Linked DNA regions of Macaca fascicularis. The main gene of each other region encodes a partner of the protein of the gene in region 2 in a complex. Links are inferred from orthologs where the notes say so. Each region holds a gene or a part of one and is shown on either strand. Other genes may lie near its edges.

Region 1 (3,568 bases), on a different chromosome or scaffold from region 2:
ATGCTAACTTTAAATTACCATATAGGAAAAGTTACCATGTCCAATTAATATTTATTTTCACAATTTGTCTGTAAAGTTAAGATAAATATCTGATTGTAAACCAAAGCAAAGCTTGTGAATATGGCTAGCAATAGAATATAACTAGCCACTATGAACAAAACTAGTGATTCTTAGTTGGGAAAATAGTACATTAGGCTATCGCTGACAAAAACATTTTTTAAAGTGAAAAGAAAAAGCAGAAGTATTTGCTAGGAAAAAGGTAGGAATTTTGACAAAGCATAAAGAAATATTTTAAATTTATATTCTCATTAGCTTACACTGGCAGTAGTACCTGTACATATGAAAAACTAACAAGAACTCAAGGTGGTGCCAATATAAAAAATATAAAATCGAAGGGATTCTACTAGGATATGCAAAGCTCTAAATTATGATTAAAAATAAACGTAAAGGTTTTTTTAAGTCCAAATGAGAAAACTTTGAATTTGCCCAAATATATATGCAACCTTTTCTTTTCTTTTTTTTTTTTTTTTTGTTTCAGAAAATGTACCTGGAATATGCTTCGCCCATCCAATGATAACCACCAACTCTCGGTCGGCCAAGTCACACAGTGTAGTGAGGGCTTTGATGTCACTGTCGGGGACAGTAGGGTCAGGCATGGCATAGATCTTCTCCGGTTCAGCCACCAACAAATGTGAGACAATCTTGTTATCTGCAGGATCAGACCAGAGCACTACAAGATCACTAGTAGTATCATCCCTCTTTTATAAACCTTAGAGTATTTTGTGTTTTGAAAAACAACCCAAATACCCTACAATAAACTCTAAATATTCCAATTATGGCTCAATAGGTATATATTAAACAGTGTGCAGGAAAACTCATAGCAAGACATATGCCACCGCAGTCATGATAGAATGTAGTCTTTCTTTTTTTTTTTTTTTTTCTTCTTTGCTCTACCTGCTTTTGCTGGAATGAAACGTCTGTCCTGTAGTGAAAATTTTTATAGCAAACAGATAAGACAAGTTAGATGCTTTCTGGGTTTGTGCTTTGGTTCTTAAGTGGGATTTGGTGAAATAGATTAAATGGTATACAACAGCTTAAAATAAAACCCCCAGTAAACCATTGAAATATAGATCATAACACAGGAGGCAAAGAACTACTAATGCCCACAGTCATAATGGGCATGAAAGTCATTAATTGTCTTAATTCCTTTAAAGAAGAGTAAAGGTCAGAGCCCTTCTGCCTTGGTGAATTACTGACTATATAACTCTATCTCCGTGGGATGCATTAAATAGGAATTTCTTTTTTTCTCCCCCTCCCCACACACCCAGCCAATCTTCCAAATACAGCTAATATGTTTCCATAAAAATACTCCTCCTTAAATGTTACAGTCATTTTCTCTTCTGTATGTCAAATTCTTTAATCCTCTATTTTCATCAGTTGTCCTTAGTCCATTCTCTGGTTCAGATTTATCTGTCTTAAATTTGTGATATATGTTTTAAAAATCCTTCAAAAAATAAACACTAGAGACAAATGGAAAGCATCACATCAAATGTGTTTTATTGCTCAGGGGCATGTGAGAGTTTATGGAAGGGGCTGTAAAGTCGTGGTAACAGAATGATTTTTCTTGTTGGCCCTGTTTTCAATTTCTATATGTAGCTTAAGATTTTATACTTTCTCCTAAGTGAGGAGAAACAAACGGGTAAGAATAAACCCACATATTTAAATGTTCTATGTACTATTACTGTAGAAAACCAAGACTTTAAATGAGGTTCTTGTGAACACAGCCAAAGTTCCCAATGTGTTTACCAGACTATTTGCCTCTAAGTTTTTAACTTTTTTAACCCAATATAAAAAGACTTCACGTAACTTAGAATTAAATATAGCATTCTTTTTATCTCCTTTCGTGAAAGATTGAGGTTTGTCCAAGCTATAATTAGCACTTTTTCCAACAAAATATTTAAACATTTATGAATATGGCTCACATATTAATTAAGCTTATTTCAAATAGACAACAGATAATATTCAATCATCATCAAATTGAGTAGGCAGATTTGGGAGGAAATATTCCCAAATACTATGTAGACTAGAAAAGAATTAAAAAATTAAATAGAGATTAATTTTTTTTAATTCTTAATTTGGATTTTTGTTTGTATATGCTACAGAAACAACACCCTGTATTTTTAGTTATGCTTGGAAAAGTTTCAACTTTCATTGCTCTGACAATGCAACAAAACCTGTCAGCAACCACTAAATTCTCAGGATTAGAAGAAAATACAATAGTAAAGAGCATAAAAATATATCCAAAGGTAATCATGACTCTAGTTTTTCTTAGTACAGGGAACATAGCACTCGCTTTATCCAAGTCAATGGATACTTGACATGAGAGGTCAGAGAAATTTGGTTGAAGCTTAGAAATTCCCATCATTCAGAAAATGGAATAGCCAGCAGCACTGTTTCTAGGTAAATCTTATTTAATGTTTCCCTAATTAGAATCAATAGAACCCAATTTTCATTCTCGGGCCTTTGTAGTACACAATCAGTCAGGGTCCAGAAATCTCCCCAGCCACTTTCTCAGCAAAGCTCAGGCACAGTCTCTTGACACTTATCTGACAGGATCTGAAAATTAAGTTTTATAAATGTTTGTTACAAAAACACACTAATTGGATGGACTAAGGAAAATTAACACAGAGGCCTTTAGATAATGAGTAATGATTTATTAGGAGTCCTCTTTATCTCAGACAAATGGAGCTCACTGAAATTGCTGTAATCTTCTTAAAGGTACTTGACAAGCCACTTCCCAATTTCTCAGGTTTACGAAGAAAACCATAGATGTTTCTCTATCACTTCAACTTACACATGGGCTGGTGCTCATTTTTCTTTCAGTAGAGGCAATTATCAATGGTTTCAGTCAATGTTTGTATAAAATAAATGAGAAGCAGGCAGTCTGTATATTAGTGAATTCAGGAAAACTAAACCTCTAATGAAATTAAGCATTAGTGTTTATTGCATTTTATTGTATTATCAGAGTTTTTTATTATAATGTGCAAAATCTGCTTAATGTAGTCCTCGATTGTATTTGCAGAATGCCAAACAGCTTATGCAGGCTGAGGAGAAGATGCCAGATTGGACAATTGAAGGTATAATCAACATAATGTTTTTTGGAAAGGCAAAAGGAAACTATGCCATATGTTCACTTAAGCTTTAATTTTATGTAAAACTGGTTGTTTTTCCTTTGACATAGCTAAAATGTCCTTTCATTTACAGTTCAGGGTCTGTTTTATTTATTTAACATATTCCCATATGCTCACGCATGTATGATGCACAGCAGTGACCCCTCCTGGAGAATCTGAATTAGAAGTGGACACCTTTGCTTCCCTTGAAGGCAGATCAAAAATTACCCATGTCTTTCCTAGAACTGCTACAGATGCATTTTCTTCTGGTAAGTGCTGGTTGTGTCTTCTTAGACAAATACAGCTAAATTTGAAAACTGTTTCCACCAAAGCACTCCTCCGTGCCCAGTAGGATCCCTATTCATAAACATCTGAAAACGCTAGTTCTGTTGCACTAC
Region 2 (4,257 bases):
TACCAATCAGAAGATGAGGAGAATGTTAGTGACAGCTGTGCTAGTAACAGTAAGCAAAACAGATTGTCAGTTAGTGAAGGGGGAGAGAGAGAAATTACAAAAGGCAGAGATAATCATTAAGTCATGGCATCCTACAGTCCTTTGGTGTAGCGACTGATAGCGTTTGGACCTCCTGGGAGAATCCCTAACACCTAGGAAGAATATAGAATAGGAACTGGATATATTTCCTGAATCCACTACAACCTACTACAACAATTACTTTTAATAAAATTGACACTGAATTGTCAAGAAAATGCTAAATGATGTTCAATAAACCGCTTAAGAGAAACATTTGCAATACATTGTAGAAAAATCTTTGTATTATGGTTAAAAATAATTTTCGTAAAAAAAGTTTGACCCCCACTAAGGGGCCAAGCTCCAATTACGCTGGTCATCATTGAAACGGTTTGCTTTGTATCAATTCTGAATAAATGATGCACTAAAAAACAGCAGCCTTTACTAATTTGCCTACAGCAGATTTTGAATTGTGGTATATGCAAATAATATGGTATTATATGAGGTTTAACTTTTTAAAATGGCAACAGATTGCATAGTTCAATCAGTAGGGTGATGTAAAATAATTGTTTTTAAAAGTGCCATTGTCACTAAGGAAAACATCGGTACCATGTGCCCGGCACTGTGCTAGGTGCTGAATTTATTAAGCATTAATTTGAAAAATTGCTTTCACTTTCAAGACTGTGACAGTATTCTAAAACTCTCATTCATATTTTTAAAGGTTAAGTGAAATTTGCAGTACACAATACAGCCATTACATAACAGGCATAGAATACAGTTTCATGACTTGGATAGTTGTTGTTTTTTAAGCGCATTAGCAACTCCATTTTCAAATGCTATCAAATTCTTCAGGATATAAAAACCTACATGTAAGAATGGAGTGCCTCATCGGCTCATTTGTCTTATGTAATAAGTGTTTTAACACAGTCATGCCATTTCAGAATTTCGGGTGAGACTAAGCTATACTTTAGCTTTTTTGTGTCAAGCAAAAACAATTTCAGCAACAACATTGGTTTCCCCTGGTAATTTTTTTCATGGCGAATTACTAAATGCTGGATGCTCAAGTCAAAAAGAAACCTGACATCTGGGGAGGTGTTGAGGGGGTGTTAATAGTTCTAGGGAGATGTTTGGGGAGCGCTGAGGATACGATTTTTAAAACAGCAAATACACGGATAAGGGGAAATTATGGTTTCGTATGACTCTCTCCTCCCTCCACTTTCTCGTTTCAGCAGTCTGTAGCCCCCCCAATTTAGAGGCGGGTTCAGCGAGATTAGGCTGCAGGAAACCAAGAGGCTCCACCGCGCTGCCGCCCCGGCCTCGTGATGTAATTGTTATTTCTTATTCGGAGACTGAACCGAGGAGAGCTGCTGAAGAAGTAGCAGCTCTGCTCCTTTTGCCTTGTCTGGTTCCCGGGGATGATGTAGATTGGCTGACAGACTCCGCTGGAGACTTCGCAGTGACAAAGCAGCCGAGGATTAACCCTGCTCCTGGGTCCTACGTCTGTCCAGGGAGCTGAGCGGGGCGCTCCTCAGGTCTCCTTCCTAGTTTTCCTCCCGGAGTCGCTCCACATGAGGGCTGGGTGCCTACTACGTGCTGGGCGTGGGGTCAAAGTGACCCAGAGTTCGCGCCCGCGCCCCCCACGATTAAAGCAGGACACACAGATTACAAGGAGATAGAAATTGGGTGGGGGGTGAAAGGGGGCCCAGGGAGCGCGTGTTGTGGGGTGAAGGGGAGGAGGTAGACTTTTAAGGCGCCAGCACCCAGGCGGGGACCCTGGGGCGTCTGGGGTGCCCCGGTCCCCAGGCTCTGCCCAAACGGGAGCATTCGGCCTGGGTCCCGAGAGCGCTTCCCCGGGTTCCCAGGAGGAGCTGTCCAGGCGCCTGCAGCGGTCGCGGGCGGCTGGACAGAGCTGGGAGCCCGGAGGACGGCCAGGGCGCGCCGAGCAGCCCCTCTCTTGGGGACGCGGTCCTTTCGCTGCCTCCGGGCCCTGCAGCCCCGTCTGAGCCACCCGGAAAGCAGGCGAGGAGGAAATCCACGAACCATAGGGGGCTCCGCAGCTACCGCGAGCGGCCCGGACCCGCACGGCTTCCTCCTGACCGGCTGACAATGGGAGGGAGGGGGAGAAAAGGGTTAAGAAACTTGGCTGAAGAGCTGAATGGCGTGGGGCGGCGAGGGGAGGGACTGGGCCGCGGCGGACTCGGCGGCGGAGGGAGGAGCGCGGCTGCGGGCGGGCGGGCGGCGAGCGAGGCGCTCAAAGTCAGCCTCGCAGACATTGCAGCAGAGCCCCGAACTCGGGAGGCGGCGGCGGAGGAGGCGGCGGCGAGGCGCAGGGACGATCCGGCCCCACGCCCGCCCGCCACCCGCGCGCGCCCGTCCGCCCGTGGCCTCGCGTCCGCCGCTGCGCCGGGAGCGCCGCTGGTCGGAGGGAAGAGCTCGCCGGGGTGCCGGGCCAGGACGGGGCGGCAGGCGCCTTCGCGGACCGAGCCTGACGGAGCCGGAGGCTGGGAGCCGCGGCGGCCTGGGGTGAGTGACGGCCGCGGCCAGGGCGCCCAGAGTAGCGGCCGCCGGCGCCGCCGGAAACGGCCCCGGAGCGCGGCCCGCGTCGGCGCTGGCTTGGCGGGCAGGGCCGCGGGGGCGTCGGGGCGGCGGGGGCAGCGCGGCCGGCCGCGGGCGCGCACGGGGCGGCGTGGAGGGCGCGTTTCCGGGGAAATCCTGCCTCTGCTGCCTGGTTCGAGTCTCCCCGGGTTCTCGCGGGGGGCCGGGGCGGCGGGCCGGCAAGTTGTGGAGTGGCCCCGGGTCGGCCCGCCCGTCCGTGCCAGTTCTGGGCAAGGGGGCGGCCGTCGCGTGGCCCCTGCGCGGGGTCGGACACTGGAGCTCGGGGGCCGGGTCGGGGTTGCCCCTCGCTCGCCTGCCCTCTTGGTCGCGAACCTCGGGCACCGCTCGCTGCGCCGCTCTCGATCCTGCTGTCCAGCCGGATCCTGGGCGGCGCCTTTCGCCTGGGTGCCTGCCTGCTCCGTGCTTGCTGGATACCCGGCTGGGAAAGTGAATAGGAAAACGGACAGCTCGCCCGGCCCCCAACGGACCCCAGGCCCGCTCTGCCCGCACTCGCCGTCCCCCCCGGATGGCGTGGCTCACGGACCCGAGGCCTCAGCCATCATTTTACCAGGAGCCAGGGGCCGGCCCCCATTTAGGGTGAGCCCCGTGGAAGTCCGGGAGGCTGCCCTTTCTCCCTTCTGCTGTCCCCACCTTACTACTATTGCATATTGTTTTATGAAGGTTTTCGTGGACGTATTCTGCAGACCCTCACATCCCTTCCAAAGTAGTTTCCCAATTTTAATCAGGAGTTGGTGTTCAGTCTGAAGGAACAAAGGAACCAACTGTGTCTTAGAGGCGGACAGGCTGGGAGTCTGTGACACATGTTGATCTCTGAAGCATTCCAGGAGTTTCTACCTTTTATCACGTCAGTAATTGGCTGCTGAAGGTAGTAAAAGAAGTACGGAATGATAAGCACTTTTGCTTTTTAAAAATATTTTTTAATGGCACATTTTACTTTGGGGGAAAGAAGACGTTCTTAGGCACAAGGATTTTTAAAAACTCGGCCGGTGGAACTGAGGTGGAGTTTGTCTCTGGTATTGTAAATGATTACATGTGGGATTGTGAAGGAAATTGTGTCGTTAGAGGAAGAGAAGCCATCTGTAGGTGTCCGTAGTAAAAAATGGTTGTCGGATTATAGGTGATCAATGCTCTTTCTGTTTCTTGGGAAAATTTGTGAAGCAAGGGGCTTCGGTAATTCATTCTTTAAAGTTATGAATTGCATTGAATGCTTATTAGTGAATCATAGGTTTAGTAAGTGGGTGGCATTATTCAATGTTTAATCATCAGTTTTCCACCTTTGTGGAAGAGATAGTGAGATAATAGACTTTTTAAACAAATGGTGTTTCATCTGCTTAGCCCGTAAGTGTCGGTTGCCGCCTGGTGTATGTTGAAATGTTTTCACCTTCGAAGTAAGTGAATTGCTCTGCTTTTGCCCAGCAGTTTGGTAATGTCGATAGGGTTTATTTGGTTCAGGGGAGCGCTGGCTTCATCGCCTATAGTAACTTTTTTTCTGCCTGGGCATAGTTCCTAGAGACAAAGAAGGAGAATCAATTAGTGGAACAGCTACTGCCCTGCAGGTTACAGGATTGGTTGCTCTAGTCTGTGTCA
Region 3 (3,568 bases), on a different chromosome or scaffold from region 2:
CCATTCTCATGTTTCAGACTCCCGTGTAGCTGGGACTACAGGCGCCCGCCACCATGCCAGGCTAATTTTTGTATTTTTAGTAGAGATGGGGTTTCACAGTGTTAGCCAGGACGGTCTCGATCTCCTGACCTTGTGATCCGCCCGTTTCGGCCTCCCAAAGTGCTGGGATTACAGGCGAGAGCCACCGTGCCCGGCCTGTCACTTGGAATTCTATTGACAATTTTAGTTGACAAAGATTACTAGAAAACTTTCGTATTTTTCAGAAAAGCTAGCAGGATTGATAATGAATATTTCAGTCCGAAGTATAATTATTAGAACGTCCCGAGGGGCCATGATAGTTTCATTTGCATTCTTATGAGTATGGCCTCATATTTAATTGTTTATCCTTTGGAAGGGAAGGATCCTTCCTTTATGTATTGGTAAAATGGAAAGGTTTAACACCCTGTTTTGTAACTTCCTTAGATCACTTTTCATTCCATTAGGAGAAATTTTGAAAGAGGAGTGAAACTGACCTCTGAGTCTCTAAATATTCATTGTGATATAATTATCTGTATCAAAAGCATCCAGAGAAGGGGGATCTTGACACCATGTCGGAGGAATGCTAAAGAATATCATTTTTTTATGTTTAGATCGCTCATGGCTGCAAGAAAAGGTAAAAATTGAAAAACTGCAACAGAAAATTCAGCTAGCTCTTCAACACGTCCTACAGAAGAATCACCGAGAAGATGGAATACTAACAAAGGTGAGTGCCGAAGGCTTCTGGTTGGCATGGCCTGAACTATCCCTTGGCACAAATCATGCTGCCAGTATGGTCATGTAAGTCATACGACCAATTCCCAAAAGTATCAGAAAGCAACAGGCTACCAAAAAGAAATAAATTTCCATTTCAGTAAAATTCTGTTGAGCCAAAACTCATTATTCAGTCTAAATTATACTTATTATCATTGATTACAAAGTGTCCTGCAACAATAAGGCAATATAGGAAAAAAGGTTACATTCTAGAAATTCTCTTCCATCAAAGTTGGGCATAAAGCAGAGTTAATATTCTGCACTGACATAAATTAGAAAAGTAATCTTTGAATTTATTTATTTTTTAGAGATAGGGTCTCACTCTGTCTCCCAGGCAGGAGTGAAGTGGCACAATCATAGCTCTATGCAACCCTGAACTTCTGGGCTCAAAAGATCCTTCTGTCTCAGTCTCCTGAGTAGTTGAGACTACAAGCGTATGTGCTACCACACTTGGTTAATTTATTTATTATTTTTTGTAGAAATGGGTATCTCGCTATGTATCTCGCTATGTTGCCCAGGCTGGTCTCGAACTCCTGGCCTCAAGCAGTCTTCCCTCCTCCACCTCCCATAGAGCTGAGATTATAGGAGTGAACCACTGTGCCCAGCCTATAATCTTTGAATTTAGAAAGAAGTTATAAAGGACTAAAAGACTTAATCAGAATGACCATATATACTAATATTAGTTCCACGTCCATTAAATTCATTAGTCATCAACAGTAAATGACTTTTGCATTTTTGTCAATTTCCCATCACTACTCTGTATTCAAAGCATAAGGTTGCATTTTTACCTATCATTATCTTTCACAATAAAAATATGATTGTAATGCCATTTTTTTAAATGTGCTAATATCCATCAGTGCCACTGCTAGTAGTACGTATTTGGTCTTAGAAAAATCAGCCCTGTTCTTTCTTATTTTATGTATTTTATTGTGTGAGATGATGTGAGAGGTTTTTGGTTTTGTTTTCTTGTTTATTTGTTTGCTTTTTTTTTTCTCCTTTATAGTTATGTTAGATCAGAAAGGGATAACTGGGGGTTAATTGCTGTTTTTGCTTTTGATTTCGCACCTGTTAGGTCAGAAAAGGGTAACTGGGGATTAATTGCTGTTTTGCTTTTGATTTTGCACCTGTTAAATGAGGACATGGGGCAGGAATGAGAAGTGGAAGGGAAGAGCCCTGTCAGGAGCTTCACTCTCTTCTCCATCTTTTTGCCCAAATGCAACGGTACCATTATGATCTCTGATTATAAACAGCACTTAACATGTAGACAAGATCTGGTGAAAACATTTCCTAGAGAAGGTTATTCTGGGTTAAAATAATAAGCATTTTGCCTTTGTGAGGTGCTGTGGAATCTGAAAGTAATTTTGCAAATTGTGTCATTATCCTTAGCTGATAAATGGTCAATGCTGGGCCCTCCATCCAGGTCTTCTGACTCGATTATTTTGCTCAGACCCAGCATTGCTTTATTACAGGCAAAACTTCTTATCGAAAAGAAACTTGTAGTTATCGGAGTTGACTAGTGCCAGTTCTGCATAAAATGTGTAGAGTATGCCATCATCTCTGGTTGCAGTGCCCTCACTACCCACCCACCACTGCCCCTCACCCACTTCTCTATCACCAGACATCTTCTTTTTGCACAGTGGTAGAGGGCAGGGTTCCAGGAAGTAGAGAGAAGGCATCTTGGAGTAGAAGGAGAAGTCAAGAGCCTTGGGTTCTGTACGAGTCTGCCGCTGACAAGCTGTGCCAACTTTTGCTTATGAACATCTTTTCTAGTTATTAAATTATTCATCTTGAAAATTATATTTAATGTATAGTTGGCATTCTATGACATGACTATATTATCATTTATTTATTTATTTATTTATTTATTTAAGAGACAGAGTCTCACTCTGTCACCCAAGCTGGAGTGCAGTGGCGCGATCTTGGCTCACTGAAACTTCTACCTCCCAGGTTCTAGCAATTCTCCTGCCTCAGCCTCCTGAGTAGCTGGGATTACAGGCGCACACTGCCATGCCTGGCTAATTTTTTTTTCAGTAGAGACGGAGTTTTGCCGTGTTGCCCAGGCTAGTCTCGAACTCCTGAGCTCAGGCAATCCACCTGCCTCAGCCTCCAAAAATGCTAGAATTACAGGCGTGAGCCACCGCGCCCAGCCATCATTTATTTTTACCAATCCTCTGCTACAAGATGTTTAAGTTGCTTTAAGGGTGTTTCACCATTATAAACAATGTCATAAAGATCATTCAGATTCCCTGATCTCTGATTTTTATACCTGTTCTTGCCTGACAGTGTGTCCTTTCTTCCACTTACAGTTAATATGCAAGGTGTCTACATTAAGAGCCTTATGTGGACGACATACAGAAAAGCTAATGGCATTTAAAGCAATATACCCAGACATTGTGCGACTTCATTTTCCTCCATTATACAAGGAGTTGTTCACTTCAGAATTTGAGCCAGCAATGCAAATTGATGGGTAAATGTTATCACCTAAGCACTTCTAGAATGTCTGAAGTACAAACATGAAAAACAAACAAAAAAATTAACCGAGACACTTTATATGGCCCTGCACAGACCTGGAGCGCCACACACTGCACATCTTTTGGTGATCGGGGTCAGGCAAAGGAGGGGAAACAATGAAAACAAATAAAAGTTGAACTTGTTTTTCTCATGCATATGATTTCCATTATGCCTACAGATATGGACCCTTTTTCTGTCTTGACTTCTTGATCGTTGACCTCTGTTTACAACAGAAGGAGGGTACTAAAGTTGGAGGATTTCCTTTTCT

Evidence for each region. The genes of interacting proteins can lie anywhere in the genome.
Region 1: the proteins of NRIP1 (region 2) and ESRRG are in contact, whole or in part, in a crystal structure (PDB 2GPP), measured with the Homo sapiens proteins. The link is inferred for Macaca fascicularis from reciprocal best matches to the Homo sapiens genes NRIP1 and ESRRG. Residues at the interface, in NP_001426204.1 of Homo sapiens: Ser378, Leu379, Leu380, Leu381, Leu383, Leu384, Lys385, Ser386, Gln387; in NP_001429.2 of Homo sapiens: Val277, Ile280, Lys284, Phe289, Leu294, Gln297, Met298, Leu301, Gln302, Lys448, Leu449, Glu452, Met453.
Region 3: the proteins of NRIP1 (region 2) and RORA are in contact, whole or in part, in a crystal structure (PDB 4S15), measured with the Homo sapiens proteins. The link is inferred for Macaca fascicularis from reciprocal best matches to the Homo sapiens genes NRIP1 and RORA. Residues at the interface, in NP_001426204.1 of Homo sapiens: Thr499, Leu500, Leu501, Gln502, Leu504, Leu505, His507; in NP_599023.1 of Homo sapiens: Gln332, Val335, Lys339, Phe344, Met345, Gln349, Gln352, Ile353, Leu356, Pro505, Leu506, Glu509, Leu510.

Annotation. Positions count from the first base shown.
Region 1 is NC_088375.1:74,369,347-74,372,914, forward strand, and holds part of ESRRG (estrogen-related receptor gamma), read right to left. Parts: intron 731-3,568; coding exon 548-730; intron 1-547. UniProt on the Homo sapiens protein: Orphan receptor that acts as a transcription activator in the absence of bound ligand. Binds specifically to an estrogen response element and activates reporter genes controlled by estrogen response elements.
Region 2 is NC_088377.1:32,171,305-32,175,561, forward strand, and holds the start of NRIP1 (nuclear receptor-interacting protein 1), read left to right. Parts: upstream 1-1,405; 5' UTR 1,406-1,586; intron 1,587-2,094; exon of another isoform or gene 2,095-2,162; intron 2,163-4,257. UniProt on the Homo sapiens protein: Modulates transcriptional activation by steroid receptors such as NR3C1, NR3C2 and ESR1. Also modulates transcriptional repression by nuclear hormone receptors.
Region 3 is NC_088381.1:37,013,132-37,016,699, reverse strand, and holds part of RORA (nuclear receptor ROR-alpha), read left to right. Parts: intron 1-629; coding exon 630-742; intron 743-3,095; coding exon 3,096-3,260; 3' UTR 3,261-3,568. UniProt on the Homo sapiens protein: Nuclear receptor that binds DNA as a monomer to ROR response elements (RORE) containing a single core motif half-site 5'-AGGTCA-3' preceded by a short A-T-rich sequence.